4 linked regions of the Coturnix japonica genome follow. The protein of the gene in region 2 purifies or fractionates together with the protein of the main gene of each other region. This does not show direct contact. Links are inferred from orthologs where the notes say so. Each region holds a gene or a part of one and is shown on either strand. Other genes may lie near its edges. The genes, in order: CLSTN1, KLC1, KIF5C and KIF5B.

Region 1 (4,160 bases), on a different chromosome or scaffold from region 2:
ACAAGCTAATTAAATGTATTAACAATTGTAAGCAGTTACCTTGCCAGCATGCTCCAACTACCAGCTGAGTTTCTATTTTCGAAGGATGAAGTGGATAATCTTCAGTCACTGGGAAAGGATCGTATGAAACACCATCTACATAAAGTGTTACTGCAGGAAATTCAACATTGAGGACGTAATGGTGCCATTCCTTGTCACAAACCTAAATAAAAGAAGTAGGAAAAATTGTTTTAATATTAAAAAAAAAAAAAAAAAGGATTACAGTATATTCTGCGAGCTGAATATACACACACATCTATAACTTCTTTGTATGCACAGCTGCAACATTAAGTTTCAGTTCGTAGTGGCTCTAGCATAAGAGCAGGTAGCTGACACCTCAAAACATTTACAGATTTACAAATAGTACCTGAAAATTTCATTCAAGAGCCTTTAAGTTTTCCCTACTGGATCTATATCTAAATAAAAAATATTTTAATATATTTATATTTATATTTATATTTATATTTATTTGTGAGGGCTTCTCCAAAAGCAGTGCCTCCTACCTTATTTTGTTGGTCCACAACATCAGAGGCAGATATTAGTGGTATGATAGTTGAGCCTTCCTGCCAATATTTTTTTTCCATTTTGTTGCTGTGTGACAGACAGCAGCAGAGGGGCAGTCTGTAAAGAAACCTGCTTTAGTAAGAAAGTGGACTAGTTGACTTCTGGAAGTCTCTCCTAACCCCTGTGATTCTGTGATATATATATATATATATATNTGGATCTGATGCACATTTTGCAAACATCCACATGTAGACATTCACCATTAAAACAATATACACTGCTCTGTACAGAACATAGCAGGATATTTCAAACCATCTCAGAACGTAACTCATGTCAGTTCTGGTGAGACCCAGAGGGCTGGAAAAGCACATCAAATATTTAGTCCCTTTTGTCTGATTCTTCACTATTGTAATCATCATTAATTCACAGAAATAAACTCTGCAGACTGTAGTAATGCCAAAGGAAAGACTTGGCATTATAGCACCTGCTTTCAAATGTAAAAAAACTAAGATTAGACAAACAGAAAGAACACAGACAGCTCTTATCCCAAACAGGGGAAAGTACCTGCATCCCTAAGAGGAGTATTGCTCTATTTCTGTGCAGTAAATACCAAATTATGCAAATCGGCTCATCTCTATTTACAATATATGTACCTACTTCTGGCAATGTGTAAAAGGTCACAGATTTTATTCCAGTGTGAGGAAGTATTAAGACGTTCTTCTTTTATCCCATTAAACACTTTGATCAGCAACAGCGCTGCATGCTCAGAAGTAATTTTGTTATAAACAAACTGGAATGCATATGCCTCCTGTTTTCATATTCATTGTGTTACAGTGTATTTAGTGAAGATAACCAACACAACAGCTGAAGTTTGGCATTTTACTTTCATACATAAATCCACACTTCGCTGCCTTTCAGGACAATGACTCGGACTTTATTTCATGAGCATCCCATTGGATTTAATTAAAACACTAAAGCAAGTAGCAAGTTAAAATCAAGTTGAACAGGCATCTATCCCTGACACTCATCACAAAGTAAATACCACTGGGTTCTACAGAAGTCAGTATCAGGAGTCTGGAGTTGTAAATAGTACTTCTTAATAATTACCTCATTAGAGAGTTCAGGCTCCAGTGTATTTCACTGTATTCTATCATTTTACCAGTCATTCCAAACTTACTTGGTTTAGCTTCCAGTGGAATTCTGCAGGCTTGTATGTCTTTCCCTCTGAAGGATCTTGCCGGAAGAGGAAAACAAGGCGGCAGTTGTGCACATACAGTGTGTAGTGGTGTCGATTCATATCTGCACAAGAGTTTCAAGTATTGTCATTCTCTAAGTATTAGGCACTCAAAAAAAAAAAAATAAAATTCACCATTTCTGAATATTCCTATTTAAATGGACAGTAATTGATAAAAAAAACGCACAAGCAAACCAGATATGTTAAGAGAGACAGTATCTCCATCTAGAAAAAAATATATACTGCAGTCAATGCTGTCACTAAGCCTGATACGTGTATCTTAAGGATTTTTGGCAGTACTGAGAATAAGGCTATTTGTGGAGATATAAAAATTAGATTTCTTTGCCAGAATAACACACCTACTATGATGAAATGAAATGCGTAACATAAATAAAGTCAGATAAACAAGCCTAACTCATTTCAGCTGAAGCTAGGTAATTTAAGTGCACACCTCTACAGGTAAATACAGTAAAGAACAGCTTTGCAGTTCACTTCCTTTCACTTCCAAGAAAAACCTAGAAAAATCTATAGAAAACACTTAAAGTTCCCACAGATGCTATCACAGCATATAAAACCAAAACAAATTAGATTGTTCATACTTCGTGTATCGACAAACCTGTCTTGTCTGAATTGCAAAGAATTGTCTCTTTCTCTTTGGTTCCAGGGCCATGTCTCATCCACACTGAAATCATGAAGGGTTCTTTCATATTGACTGTGACAACACCATCTGGAATCTTCACAGCCTGTGTGCCATTAAACTCAAAGACTTGGTCACTGTCATGACCATTATCAGTAGGAAGTCCTATCGTCCAGTTCGCAGCACTACTTGGAGAAGGAAGCAATTCAGCTGTGCCAGAAGCTGCACCTACAATAAAAATGCTCACATGAAAACAAGGTAGTAACTAGAAAGATCACAGCAAGCTTCATATCTAACAGCTTTTAATGAGCATTAGTTTTACTGCCAGTATTATGTGTTATCATCACATATCAGGCAAATCTCCTATTGAATAATGTGGCATTAACATTAAACATATCTAATATTACCAGCTGAAGAGATCTGCATGAGAACACCACAGTGAACCCAAGCATCCCCTCTCACATCATCGACTAATAAAACTGCACATCTTCTAACATAATATTCAGCCCATAATAAGCACTTTATCAGAACAAAAGCATCCTTACCACAGAGTCTGTGAATGGATTTCTCAGAATAGGTGTCTCTATCGCAGCCTTTCCCAATATGATTGGTTTCTAGCTCAACTGTTGCCTGAATTGAGGTTATTGGCTCATCACATGTGTCCAAACGCATACTTGGGAAGAGTGCTAAAGAACCAGTACCAGGTTCATATTCTATTCTTTTGCTCCAACCTGTATAATTATTCAAAGAAAAAACATTAAAAAAAATCCCTCCTGTTTAACTGAAGGCACTGCCAAAGCAGATAGGAAGGAGCTCAAACTAACCTTGCCAGCCAGGCTTGCATGTAGGCTTAATACTAATTTTAACCAATACATCTTCAGCAGCTCTCTTCTTCCCACAGTCATATGCAGTTACTGTCAGTTTATACTGGTGCTCTTTGCCATAGCTTAACTTTTCTGTGTTTTTTATATAACCTGGAAAAAAAAAAGGTGATATTAAGAAATGAATATTTCAGGGTCACTGCTGTGTTAAATCCATACAGGTACCCACCCTATGTACTTTATACTGGTAACAAGACTTTAGCAGCAACACACAATAGACTTTCACTACCTGTGCTTTCAGTGCTAGACATAAGGTCCAGATATTTAAAAATCATATATATACAGAAGATAAGTATAAATATACAGAACAACAAGTATATACTTATCAGGCTCATCACAGTATACTATACTGCATTATATAATATACATATATATAGTATTTAACAGTATTATATTACTCCAAATTAAACTATTCACAAGTGGTAACTGGTAAATAAACTTTATCAGATATCTGTTTCATCTGCAGACCTTCAGAAATGTGAATACCTCAAAAATTCAACCTAAAGTCAGATAAAAACTGTCTTGTTTTGCTTGGCCAGGTCCCCTGGACTCCTGGAAATAGTCCACAGATCACAGACTGAATGGAAATGACCTAAACAAAACAAAACACTACACTACACTTCAACCCCAATACACTGTAAACTTCAGAGCCACATGTAAACATCTCACATGGAAAAAACACACTAACAGAATCCTATTTTTGAAAGCATCACAGGAAAGAGTTAAAGCAGGGTTGCTGCAGTTTTATGCTGATCAATTTGAAGCCCTATGCCTAAGGCAGTGAATGACAGTAATTCCAACTCTGTCTTGCATCACATTCTTACCGTCTTTGTCAATAGCGAAAGGAACATCCGGAGTTACGATT
Region 2 (4,871 bases):
CTGTCTGCTACAAAAAACATTTTCCAAAACAAGCCCAGCGTTATCTGTCAAAGCACCTCAAACACAACCCTGTGGAAATGATTCCTACATCACTGAAAGGACCTGTAATTCTGGCTCTTGCCCTCTTACAAAGTGCCCGGCTCAAATCCCTTAAGTCAAAGCAACAAATGCATCTCAGCATGAGTTCAAGCTTCCTGGTCTGGTGTTTATTGACTGTGGTGACTGGGTAAGTATTCTTTCAAAGGAACCACATTTATTTCTACAACCTGCTATTAGACAGAAAACGTTCCACTAAAGAAACGACCGGGAGAGCCTCACTACCTCAAGCTGAGCATGACTCAGGATATAACTGCCTCTATTTTGAGGCCAAAATACTTCTTTTAAAATAAGCCGTTTGCCTTCCACTAGTACTTGGCTACCAGGAAGTATATACATCATACACTGCATGCCCAATGATTTTGTCTTAAGGAAAACAACAGTTAACATCTAAAAGAAATATGTGTTTTTTCCCTAAACTTTGGTCAAGGTAAATACTGTGTTTTCATAGATGAAAAAATACTTTGAAAGTATAAAATATTATGCAGATTATGCTACAATAAACGCTTCTATGTAGCCACTTCTATTGCAATGATGATGGAATTGGTCAGATCCCAGCTTTATGGCAGATGTGTCATGCTGAACTGTACCCTGAGGCACACGGACAGCAAAAGGTTCCTTTAAATAAACTCTCACCTTCATCTTTGTTTGCTACCACACGGTTCAACATTAAATGCAAAAATACATATTGAATCGTCATGAATGTACCCATACTCATTTTTTCACTCCCTTTATGAAAACAGAATCACAGAATAACAGTACTTTAAAAGTTATTTGTACACTTCATTGAGTCTTAAAATAATTATGAGCTAAGCATCTGGAAAGAAGCTGCTAATACCAGCATAAATCTACTTACACGTCTTCCAGAGATACCGAGCAGAGTAAGAAATGAAAGAGTATCTGCACAGCCCACATGTCTCAAGAGAAACAGAAGCTGCATTATGTGGACTCAGCACAGAGCATGAGGGTTCAGCATTTCCCCAGGCTCCTAATTAAGGGACATAGGTAGGTATGTCTTTATGCACACGTAGATACGCTGATCTCTCCCTGTGTTTAAATGTACACAGCCTATGGGTAGCACACAAGTGAGGGCTTTCTGACTTCGTTATGGTACGTTCTTCATCAACAGAGCAAGCAGCAATTGCTTTTATACCCCTTACGCCTCCCTCGAACAGCATTTTGATTATTGTATGTCAAAACATTTAGTAGACTGCCACAAATTTCATTCACTATTCTGTGCACTATTCTTTTGTTGAGCAAAGGCTTTTTAAGATTAGTTTCCATTCATAAGGCATCGTTGGTACATCCCAATAATGCAGTGAGCAGCAAACAAAGCAACTTTATAATATACATTCAGGGGACAACTTTATTTTCTTTTAAAATTACTTACAATAGCGTGTTTTCTTTGATTCGAAAATGAACGGAGCCCAGACTTACACTGCTGTCAGAATGTGAGATTAATGGAGGTGCCCACTTCCATCACCACCCATCAGGAACAGAAATGCTGCCAAACTTCACTGCAACACGATGCAGAAGTGATACCGCATTGTTGTGTGACTTCGGGAACTCACCATTTCAGTTCCCTGCACTTTGCCACCTGGTTCGGCATTAAGTTCTTACCTAATTGGAACTGGAGTTTTCTACATCCATGGATATGTCACAAAAATATTGTCTTAAACCACAAAGAAAATTAAATCACAGCAACACCTTTCAAAACATGAGGCCTGCTCCGAACCAGCACAGAGATCAGTTTCCTCTCTGCTTCCACTAAACGCTGAATGTGTTTCTTTCAATTGTCTCTATAATCCCGGGGTTATAATATCCTCTATCACGTTTCGCTGAAGCTTTGGAATTCAGAATCAATTAAAATCATGTCATTTCCCAGAGCGGTTTGAAATCAATCCCAAATTCAAGAAGGTTTGGATTTGATCTGATATTTGATTTCATTTGATTTTTGTATATTGAAATGCTGTGTAAATCTCGAAGGTTCCTTTCCAGCTTTCCAATGCACACCCTTTGGGCATGTTTCCTATTTCAGAGAAGTACAAACACAAAAGGGGAAGTGAAACAGACAATTACTTCCCAGACTAATTGTTACCAAACCTTCTGCCATTTGCAACACGAAAAGAACATTTTAAGTATCATCGTCCCAGGCGTTTTTATGTAAGACTCTAAAAAATAACTTCTATTACCAATGACATCGTTCTGCTGTTTAAAGTGGAGCATAAGAACAAACTTTCACTTTTTTTCCTCCCCCCCCCCCCCCCCAGCTCCTTTTGCTTTCTGATTCTGTACTCGAATGCTGCTGTTACAATGAGGACGGAGGATATAACAAAGGAAATCTTTAATGGGGGATAAAAAAAACAAAGCGCAGAAGCACCTGATGGATGGAGCAGGCTCCCAGCAGTGTGTGTCCATCTGGGTGCTGCTGCCCTGGCCATCACAACGGGCTTCTCTCAGCTCAGCTCAGCTCAGCACACAGGGAGGAGGCGCGGTGCTTACGCACAAGCGCTGTGCGGCTGTACCAACCTGACATCTCTCTACCCAAAACAGCAGCAAGCCAGAAGGATAAAGCACCTTCCTAATTCACCTCTGCCCAAAGGACAGTACCAGTGAGGTCGGTCAGGCACCGGCGTTATTTCTCCCCTCACCATTTACCTCACTGTAGACAAGGATGCCGAAGGGGGCATATCACGGTGACCTGCACCGCTCGGTCACGATCAGCGCCGTCCCCGCCTTCCTCCCTTCATTCTTCCTCCCTCCGTTCCACCATTTCACGCCTTGCCCTCAGCCCGGCCCGCTCTCCCCCTGGGCGGTGCCGGCCGCAGCCCCGCGGGGGGGACAAAGCGCGACCGGCGGAGCTGTCAGCGGGGAGCAGCCTTTTGTTGTCTGAGAACCGGGATGGAGGAGGAAGGCGAAGATGGAACCGAAAAGCCCCGACCCTCCCCGCCCCGCCGTGCCCCGCTCACCGCTCGGTGCTGCAGGCTCGGATGTGCGCAGCGCTCGCTGAGCCGGCGGGGGCCGCGCAGCCCGGGGAGGCCGGAGGAGGATGTCAGCGACGGGCGGAAGGAAGGAAAAGGATTTCGATGAAAGGAAGACAGCGGGCACCGCCGTGTCTTCGGCTTTACCTGTAAGGAGCCGACGGGCCCGACCCGGCCCCCGAGGAGCGGGCGCTGACAGCTGCACGCAGCCGCCGCCCCGGCCGCTACCGCCGCGCCCCGCCCGGCCCCGCCCGGCGCTCCGCCCGGCCCGCCCCGCCCAACATGGCGGCCGCCCTCCCCTCTCCCAGCAGCCCACGCGCGCCCTCCTTTCCCGCCGCTTCCCCTCCCTGTATGATGTCATGGCTGCCGGCCTGCGGCGGGAGAGCAGGAAATGTGTCTTTGTAGCTTCACGTTTCATTTCATAAAGTACAATGGTGGCCGTTTTCTCTGTGCTCCACTGGGTACATGTTCAGGGGGCTGGAGCACCTCCCCTATGAGGACAGGCTGAGGGAGTTGGGTTTGTTCAGCCTGGAGAAGAGAAGGTTGCGGGGTGACCTCATTGCAGCCTTTCAGTACCTGAAGGGAACTTACTCCCAGGAGGGGAGTGAACTCTTGGAAAGGGCTGATAATAGCAGGACTAGGGGAAATGGTTTTAAGTTAAAAGAGGGAAGATTTAGGTTGGATGTTAGGGGGAAGTTCTTTACTAGAAGAGTGGTTAGGCCCTGGAACAGGCTGCCCAGGGAGGTTGTGGATGCCCCGTCCTTGGAGGTGTTCAAGGCCAGGTTGGACGGGGCCCTGGGCAACCTGATCTATGGGGGATCTATGGGGATCTATGGGGTCTCTGTGGGGATCTATGGGGTCTCCTGAGCAACCTGATCTAGTAAAGGTGTATGTTTGGTGGCCCTGCCAGGCAGGGGGATTGGAACTACATGATCCTTGAGGTCCCTTCCAATCCGGGTCATTCTGTGATTCTGTGTGATTCTGTGATGATGGTGGAAGAAACGGGAGTTCTAGGATGAAAAATACAGTTAAATATGACAGTGCACTGCTATGCGTGTAGGGAGTCATCGGGGAATGATGACAGCCTAACTATAAAGTGTTATTAATGTCTAGACAATACTATGGTGCATTATCATCTGAACGCCGCGCAGCTCCTGCAGTACATATTACATATAGATATGAATCATAAGCTTATAGAAATATGGAGATGTAGCGGTGAATCAGAGTGTGCGGCCTCACCTACGTGGTGAATTCTGAGAGACACAAGGAAAGCTGTGCTGACATCTGTTTGTCCTCAAAGAAAACATCAATGGGCTCTACAGAATGGCAGGACTCTAAAGCGGAGATGGAAGAAGGAGTCACAACTGGTGCTGTAGTTAGAGAAGCCCAGCAAAACAAATGGGGCTGCAGAATGCACAAGCAGAGAGTCCCTGTGGGGTTGGAAAAGGGCACTGTAGTATTGACAGGGAAGTCTGGGCAGTGGCCTGGCCAACTGAGTGTAATGGTGGGAAGTAGGTGTCTGAAAGTAATAAGAAAGGGCAAAAAATGAATAACCATTCCTTTATACACGTTTTTAAAATGAAGAGTTATGTCAGCTGGTCCACAAGTTCAGAGAATTTTCATGAATATGCAAGAGATTTAATTAAAAATAGAACTTGCCCTAATTACATGATTATGCAAGAGAACAGATTCAAAGGAACCCCTCCTATCTTTTGAATAAACAATATTCATTGCTTTCTTCCTATCACACATTTGCTTTCAAAGATTTCCTGCAATTAGCTGCTCACCCCAGGG
Region 3 (4,160 bases), on a different chromosome or scaffold from region 2:
ACAACATCCTTCTAACTGTAAGGCACAAACCTAATTGAGCACAGAAGTCCTCCTTCAGAGAGAACAGGGCACAGCCACCTTCTGCTGTAATGTTATTTTTATTTTCTGAATGTACAGAACAAGCTATGTCAATGGAGTATTTATGCATTGGTCTTTTATTTTATACTCAAGATACTGCTTTTGCTATAGTTTCATTTGGAAAGAGCCTCCTTTGGCACAGTATCCTTCCAAATGATGCTATTCCAGAAGGTCAGACAAGAAATCAATAATAATTGGAATGCATTTAATGTATGGCTTGGTAACACCAATGAGAAAAGATGTAGGGGAAGAGGCGCTCTGTATATTTAGACAAAACAACAGAGGCAGCATTTTGTGTTTAAACAGCATATAGGATGTATGTACACAGGTTCTTCTTAAAGATCCTTCCCAGGATGGGAAGGAAATCATTGAAATTATTATCACATTCAGCAAACACTGAATGAAATGCAGAACATATAAGTGCCAACAATTCCCAGTGCTCTTCAACACGCACAACAGACTCACTGTCTCCATAGCAATTTTACCATGTGGATAAGGGAGACATCCCTTATCCCTGAAGTGGCCCAACCCCCCAGAGGAAGAAGCAGAAAGCAGCCATTAGGTAACTACCTGATGTGAAAGGCAAGGAAACAGCACAGCAGGTGAAAGAAAGTAGCACTGCTTTGCAGCCATAAGGGGCAGGGATTATCTTTTAAGTACAGACAGTAGAGATTTTATCCATGTTATTCAAAAGCAGACTTGACAAGTGCAAAGCCATTTGTGGCTAATCATTAAATCACATATTTGTTCTCACTTAATGCTGGCAAGTCTGTGGCCAGCAACAGGCAGCGGTGTGGCCAAAGGTGCTAAGCAGGCTGCGCACTTTGGAGTTTAACACACATAACTTAAATCTGCAGAAATGCCCCCATTCCTATTTTCCCATACATACCATTTCTCCACCTGTTCAGTTCCAGCTCCAGATGCTGGATAACATTCTTTAGACTCTTGTTTTTCTCTTTTTCTTTCTCATACTTTTTCTTCCACTGTTCTGCAGTGAGCTCAACATTGACACAGACTGTGTTCTTAATGGTCTTTGCTCTGCATAACAAAAACAGGTGTCAGCTGCTCTGTAACTTCTATCTCAATGCAAGGCTGGGATTTGGAAATTTTTATATTACGTCAAGGGAAACTATGAAACATTTGCAGTTCATTTCCTGCAATGCAGTGTCACAGTTCCATTTTCTCTCAAAACCTCAGCAGTGTTATTACCTAGAATCACAGAATGGTTGGGTTGGAAGGGGCTTCAAGGATCACGAAGCTCCAACCCCCCACCACAGGCAGGGCCACCAACCTCCCCACTGAATACCAGCCCAGGCTGCCCAGGGCCCCATCCAACCTGGCCTTGAACACCTCCAGGGATGGACGGGGCATCCACAGCCTCTCTGGGCAGCTGTGCCAGCACCTCACCACTCTCACAGTCTTTCCATCGAAGCCTCAATAGAATTTTTCTGCCTCCACTCAGGCACGGATCTTTCTCTGCAGATTTATTCTAAGAGAAGCAGTTCTGGGTTCACCATTTCACTATTGTGAAACTACTGAGTCCCAGACGTGATCTTTTATCGTTTTCTCCATGGCTTCACTTCTTGATTCTGAATCACCTTCTAAATATCATAGAATCCTAGACTGGCCCAGGCTGAACAACACCACAGTGCTCATCCAGCTCCAACCCCCTGCTGTGTGCAGGGTCACCAACCAGCAGCCCAGGCTGCCCAGAGCCACATCCAGCCTGGCCTTGAATGCCTGCAGGGATGGGGCATCCACAGCCTCCTTGGGCAACCTGTGAACAGTGCGTCACCACCCTCTGAGTGAAAAAAATATGGCCAATCACTTTAAATCCTGAAGCTTTCTTTTGTCAGCAGGGAAATGCTCCCATCCCTGCTTATCATATCCCAAACTGTGCCCTGGTGACTTATCATAGAATCACAGAACAATAGAATGGCCTGGGTTGAAAAGGACCATAATGATCACCTAGTTTCAGCCCCCCGTCACAAGCAGGGTCACCAAAAAGTGTGACTTGCACTATGTGACATGCAGAAGTTTAATTACCTTAGAAGAATTTAAAATAACCTTGTTCTTCTGAACGATGCAGACACCTAATGCTTGGCTTTAACATATTGTCTCATATTCTGCTAAAAGCATGGCTCACATTTCTACTCACTGAAGCGCACTGGGGAAAAAATGCCACACTATAAAATACACTGACTGCACTGCACTGCTGATAGATGAAGCACATACAACTACAATTAAAAACAACATAAAAACACCAAAAAAAAGAAGAAAAAAGAAGAAACTGACTCATTGCTGACAGAGGAGCCCATGAATTTGCAGCTGGGTCTATGAAGATGGATTTTACTCCTGGCACTTACTTTAATGGTGCTATTTCTCTATTGCTTGGCAAAATGGAGGATCTGGTAATCAACCATGAGCCACTCACCTTTCCTTTAACATTACTCAGCCCTTAATCCTGCCACATCAGAAAAATGGAATACCGCAGCCAAAGGGCCTGGAAATGAAACCATTCCCCACAGACAGCAATAGTGCTGTTCAAAGTGCTGACAAACAACACTGTGCACATACAGTAGGTGTGCTCCTATGCAGGTCTGCCACCTCAGCAGTCCTCCTCTTTGCGTGTCCTCCCTCCCAATTAAATGCTCCCCAGGACCTTCTGCTTCAGCACAACTCTAGAGCTTCTAAGCAGCAAACCACAAAATGACCAACACATGACTCACTAATCAAGCTGCCCCGCAAAGAATGCAGCCCTCTCTCCACTTCTTTCAGATGACATCCTAGTCCTCAGCAAGGAGCACTTCTATGGATTAGAAAGAGAAAACCTTCCTCCTCTAGCACATGATTTGTTTCTGGAAGAGCCAGATGGGGAAAGCACTGCAGAAAGTGTCTGCCAGCCTTAACCTACAGCATCCCCCTCAGTCCCCACAGCTGTCCTTTAAGAGAGGCTACACCAACTGCATCTTCAGGGCCCATCCTGTATTTTATGTGCTCTTATGTGAATGAACTGCAGAGTTCATCTTCCTTCAACAAAATGTAAGGAAGAGCTCACCTTAAAGACTAACAGCAGGGAGATGAACTAATATAAGATTGCCAGATTTGTCTTTTATACAAGATTTTAATTTCCAATATAAAATGCTCCATAACAGTGTTAATTTTAATGCCAAACTTATGCCAAGTGGAAGACACAACCTATTTCCCGACCAGATATATTCTATTATTGCACAAACTCCTCAACAAATAATCTCTCAAGCAATCGTAAGTTGCTCGAATTGTTTTCATTTTGCTATTACATAAATAAATACACACTACATAAAGCAAATGACACTCCAACATATCAGAGTTCTCTTTAGTTACAATAAAAATAACTATGTAATGAGCCTGACCTGTTCTGGCAACCTTTCCAACTGAATTTCATATGACTACAGCCAATGATATACACACAAGAGAAATCTTCCTTCCAACCATTTCCACGTTTCTTTAACCCTTGCTTGCTCCTAAATAATTACTGATGTTCTAAGCGTGTAAAGCCATCGTAGTAACCCATCAAAACTGTCAGCATTTACCCTGCATCCACATTCTTCAGTTTTCTAAATTAACAGTTCAAAAAAATCACAATGATCACTGAGATGCCATTCAAGGAGAAGATACATCTTATAAGTGACAACAGCAGTACCAAACAGAGCAATACCCAACGTTTTCCAGTGAGACAGCCAGCAGAAAACTGCCCAACACCATTAACTTCTCCACAAAACTTCAAAAAACTACAAGAAATCTTCATCCTTTCCAAAGCAGAGCAGCTGTTGGCCAACACCAACATTTCTTTTACTGGTACCATGCAGAATAAAGAGGCTCAAGTTATTCAGTTCTGGTTTTTTAACCACTTCAGAAATCATGACCTCCACAGCCGGCTCAGAACACATGGAAGAGCTCCAATGAGAGTTATCTATCTTAATGCCAAGTAAGACTCACCGCTGTCCAAACATCAGGGTCGACTTTGTTTCTGCTTCATTGAAAATAGAAGGAGAACAGCATATAACAATGGTGGTTCTGCAGTTTCCACCAAGGGAATCCTG
Region 4 (4,160 bases), on a different chromosome or scaffold from region 2:
CAAGTGTTCCTCATGCTTATGATGTGGATGGCTCGCAGTGTGTCCCATAGCTTCCTGGTGATGGTGATGGAGGCTTTTTGAAGTTACAGATGTCAGTGAGAAAGAGAACTTAAAATTAGTGTTCTCTGTGGTGACTTTTTACATAACAACTTCTCAGCTTTCATTTTCTTACCTTGGGGATACTTGGATTTGCTTGTTTGTCTTCTGGTGTACACAGAGATCCGAGTTCCACCTGTAGAGCATACAAGTTTGAGGTGTATTTAAAGCTAGAATGAGTAAATGAGAAAGCCTGTAATTTCCCTACTGTGAAACAAATGTTCAGACTTCAGCACCTTAGGGATAGTTTCTGCCTACTGAGTCTTGTGGTTTCTTGAGCATATTTACACAGTGAACTGTGTAATTATTTTCTTTTTTCCAAGAGGGAGCTCATCTATCTGAATTTCAAGCCCTTTAAGCAGAGTGATATGAGTTGGCTCCGAAAAGCTTTGTTTGGTGTTACGCTAGATGTTATTAAAAGGCAAATGGAAGGTCAGGCTGGGAAAGGGAATGTGGTGAGTGGGTGGGTAAAAGATGGAAGCTAGACTTGTTCTGCTGCCAGGAAGGCCGTCCCACAGGATCCTTGGGGGAGGGGAAGGATGATAATGAATTAAACATAGGCCAAATGGATCATTGAACGGTTACAGTAAGTTCAGTGGTAGGAATTGACTTAAGGCCCTTGGAAACCTCAGCTGTCTGCAAAGATATTAATAAACTCTGAAAGTTCTAGGAAATTTTCAGCTTAGTAAGATGAACTTAATAACTCATCTTTATGGACTGTCAGCTTGTTACAGCTGTTACCAAATCCCCAGTTCTTTTCATAAAGCTGTGTCAGAGCTTCCTCTTTCAGTGTTTTCCTAAAGAAATCTTTGGAAGGTTCCCTTCCTGCAAAGTGGCCTTTTCCTTCTGTTTACAGAGCCTCATTGTAAGGATATCATGCATGGGGAAATGTTCCTTGTGCTGACTGTAGGTGACCTGGATGTTTCCTTTGGTTTGAGATTGTTAACAAATACTATGAAGGCATATTGTGTGTGATGTGATACGAGTTGTTTTTAATAATTTGGGTTTACCAAAGCAGTGGAGAAGAATGAAGTTTTCTCAGAGGTATAGACACTAAGCACTGGTTTACAGTGTAAGTAGAGTAGAGGTCGTGTAGCAGTGTAGTTATGGCAAATAGTTTGGGTTGCACTTAAAAGCCAAACATACTGAATTCAAGGCCTTATTTGTAAGCAAACATGTGAAGATTTAGACACATACATAAGCCGATTTCCTCACTGCGTCCTTCAAGTACTTAAAATAAAACACGAGATCGGACCGAGACCATGTAGGCTGCTTCTAAGCTGTGTGAACAAACACCTTTCAGTTGTGCTTCCCAGGTAGTCTTTTTTTAACAGCCTTTCTTTCTATTTTGCAGTCCAAGCCATATATATTTGACCGTGTATTCCAGTCAAACACATCCCAGGAGCAAGTATACAATGACTGTGCTAAAAAGATTGTCAAAGGTAAGGTGGGATGAACTCTTTGTTTTTGGGAAACACCTTATTTGTGTGGGTTTTTATGTTGAAATCTGGTACCTTCTGTTGCTCCCGTTTACCTTCTGAATGTTTAATAACAGTCATCGTGGTTCAGAGTATAAAATCATCCTCTAGTTGAGGTGATATGATGTCAATACTGAGCCCACTTCTCCAGTTGTTTGCAGCATTTGATGATAATTACCTGTTAGTTTGATTTTTATTTTTTATTTTCAGATCTTGCTAGAGGTTAAAACAATTGGCCTTAAATTAATAAAGGATAGGCTTCTGTCTGTTTGAAAACAACTCGTATGAGTAGTTTTTTTTAATTGGTGTCAGAAAACAGTTATTTTTGTTTGGAGGAATGTAAGGTGAAACTTGGGAAACTTCATGTTTGTTTTGTTTTAACTTTGCAATTATGAGTTACCTGATTTCAGTGCTTATCAGAGTGTACTCTCTCTAAACTTGAACTGTCTAATGGCTTTGTGGCTTCTGGGGCTCAAGTCTTCTAATAGAGAAGGTTATACTACAATGAAGTACCTTATTAAGGAGTTAGGTAACTCCCTCAAAATAAAATTGATTCATTTCTTAAGTAGATCAGTACAAGTTCCAATTGACACAGCTTTAAAACAACTGTATCAAAGCCTTCTTAGGAGTGCGTAAACTATCAGCTGTTAGAGGCAAGACCAGATGAGTGAAGTGTTGAAGGCCCTTACCCTTCAACCTGAAACTCAGAGTTGAGTTGTTCATGGTTTAAAACATAAGCTTATGGCCAAGTGATAAGATGCTGGAAACTTTTAGCTTAGCTCATTCTCTTAATAATCAGATACTCCAGCTTTACTGTGAAGGCAGCAAATAATGTACTGCATAATACAATTTGTTTAAATGGTCAAAGGCTGTCTGTACAATGTGGCAGTTGTATTCATTTACTTCTTATTACCAACTCTCAAGTTGTGTTTTGCTGGCTGAAGGAGCTGCTTCTAATACAGCTTCTGGAAATGCAATCTGTAGTGACTGCATTAAAAGTGCTAAGGGAGAACACTGCTGCCTTCCTCTCCCAGCACCAAGTATTGTAGCGCTTACTTTTCAGTCACTGAATGGCTCAACTTGCTGAACATTTTAGGAATTGCTCACATTCTATTTTATTTGACTTTTGTTTAGGAGAAGGGAATCAGTCCTAATGAAAATATTTTTTTCCTCTAGATGTACTTGAGGGATACAATGGTACAATATTTGCTTACGGGCAGACATCATCTGGAAAGACGCACACTATGGAAGTAAGGCAACTTAAAATTATTTTCTTCTAATATTGTTTTCATCTCTTTTCACCACTGTGGTGTTATATTCCTAGAGATGAGATATTGGCTTGTTTTTATGAAATCATAGAATGGTTGAGGTTGGAAACTATCTTTTAAGATCAGTAGTTCCAACTACTCTGCAGTGGGGATGGAAGTCTTTCATTCGATTAAGTTGCCTAAAGTCCCCATCCACCCTAAATTTGAACAGTTCCAGAAATGAAGCATCTGCATCTTTCATTTTCTTTCCTATTACAAACTTTGGATACCTAAAATATTTTTCATATGTAAGAATGGCAGTTACTGTATTTATTCAGCTATCAAAAGCAGGATTGTTCATGGTAGATTTCTCATCTTTGTGTGTGACGTTTTTGAGGCTGTTCTTTTTGTTTCTAGCAACTTCTGGCCCTAAGTGGATGGCTAAGAGCTTCCTTTGCAGATAAACATAAGTGCATTTTACCCACCAACACTTCAGAGCTATCTTGTTTCACTTTTTATTCTGCCTTCAAATACTTTGTGTATTAATGTTTTTTCATTCCCTTTTCTAAAAGGGGAAGCTTCACGACCCAGATGGAATGGGAATTATTCCAAGAATAGTACAAGATATCTTTAATTATATTTACTCTATGGATGAGAATCTTGAGTTTCATATTAAGGTAATGGTTTCTTTATTTCCTATATTTAATCTATATTAAAATTGGAAGTAGTTTGTTGCGGAATGGATGTTTCATATCTGTTACGAATGCTTGTGAATTGGAAAATATAAAGACAAGTTATTTCAGAAACTGGCTCTACTCAAAGAATAATTGCATTAACACTTTAATCTTGTTTCCATTAAACATTGATGGTAGATAACTTGTGTCAATGCTGTGTATTTTAGTTTGTCCTCGTGGTTGTCAACTAGATATGGCAGTACATGAGAGGTTGTGGTTATTGTACTGAGTCCTTCTGAAGTACATTTTTGTGTTCTAATGCCATTTGTTTCACACTTCTAGGTGTCGTATTTTGAAATATACTTGGATAAAATAAGGGACCTTTTGGATGGTAAGTTTCTTATTTGCTTTGGGCATAGGAAGTAAACTGCTTGGTAGAGAGATTTAAAGAACAAAAGCTTTAGGATGATACTGAGACATATGTGTTATGTTAATAAGTAGCCCATCTCTGATATAGATGCAGCAAAATGAGACCACACGTAGCTAATGTATATAATGCAACTGTAGCTGCAGTAGCGGTTGTTTGATGTATGTTCCATTTTTACTTGGATCTGCTGTAAATGTCTCATTCTCTGAAGGAATCATATGTACCTCAGCTTTAGAAC

What was found.
Region 1: the proteins of KLC1 (region 2) and CLSTN1 purify together in Homo sapiens (co-immunoprecipitation; 3 studies listed by BioGRID and IntAct, with this or other methods). This does not show direct contact. The link is inferred for Coturnix japonica from reciprocal best matches to the Homo sapiens genes KLC1 and CLSTN1.
Region 3: the proteins of KLC1 (region 2) and KIF5C purify together in Homo sapiens (co-immunoprecipitation; 4 studies listed by BioGRID and IntAct, counting the BioPlex papers as one, with this or other methods). This does not show direct contact. The link is inferred for Coturnix japonica from reciprocal best matches to the Homo sapiens genes KLC1 and KIF5C.
Region 4: the proteins of KLC1 (region 2) and KIF5B purify together in Homo sapiens (co-immunoprecipitation; 11 studies listed by BioGRID and IntAct, counting the BioPlex papers as one, with this or other methods). This does not show direct contact. The link is inferred for Coturnix japonica from reciprocal best matches to the Homo sapiens genes KLC1 and KIF5B.

The regions. Positions count from the first base shown.
Region 1 is NC_029536.1:2,977,152-2,981,311, forward strand, and holds part of CLSTN1 (calsyntenin-1), read right to left. Parts: coding exon 4,120-4,160; intron 3,389-4,119; coding exon 3,239-3,388; intron 3,146-3,238; coding exon 2,960-3,145; intron 2,643-2,959; coding exon 2,394-2,642; intron 1,843-2,393; coding exon 1,721-1,842; intron 203-1,720; coding exon 40-202; intron 1-39. UniProt on the Homo sapiens protein: Postsynaptic adhesion molecule that binds to presynaptic neurexins to mediate both excitatory and inhibitory synapse formation.
Region 2 is NC_029520.1:45,862,747-45,867,617, reverse strand, and holds the start of KLC1 (kinesin light chain 1), read right to left. Parts: upstream 3,315-4,871; 5' UTR 3,066-3,314; intron 1-3,065. UniProt on the Homo sapiens protein: Kinesin is a microtubule-associated force-producing protein that may play a role in organelle transport. The light chain may function in coupling of cargo to the heavy chain or in the modulation of its ATPase activity.
Region 3 is NC_029522.1:31,111,801-31,115,960, forward strand, and holds part of KIF5C (kinesin heavy chain), read right to left. Parts: coding exon 4,057-4,160; intron 1,117-4,056; coding exon 968-1,116; intron 1-967. UniProt on the Homo sapiens protein: Microtubule-associated force-producing protein that may play a role in organelle transport. Has ATPase activity. Involved in synaptic transmission. Mediates dendritic trafficking of mRNAs.
Region 4 is NC_029517.1:12,865,096-12,869,255, forward strand, and holds part of KIF5B (kinesin-1 heavy chain), read left to right. Parts: intron 1-1,450; coding exon 1,451-1,538; intron 1,539-2,750; coding exon 2,751-2,824; intron 2,825-3,393; coding exon 3,394-3,498; intron 3,499-3,837; coding exon 3,838-3,886; intron 3,887-4,160. UniProt on the Homo sapiens protein: Microtubule-dependent motor required for normal distribution of mitochondria and lysosomes. Can induce formation of neurite-like membrane protrusions in non-neuronal cells in a ZFYVE27-dependent manner.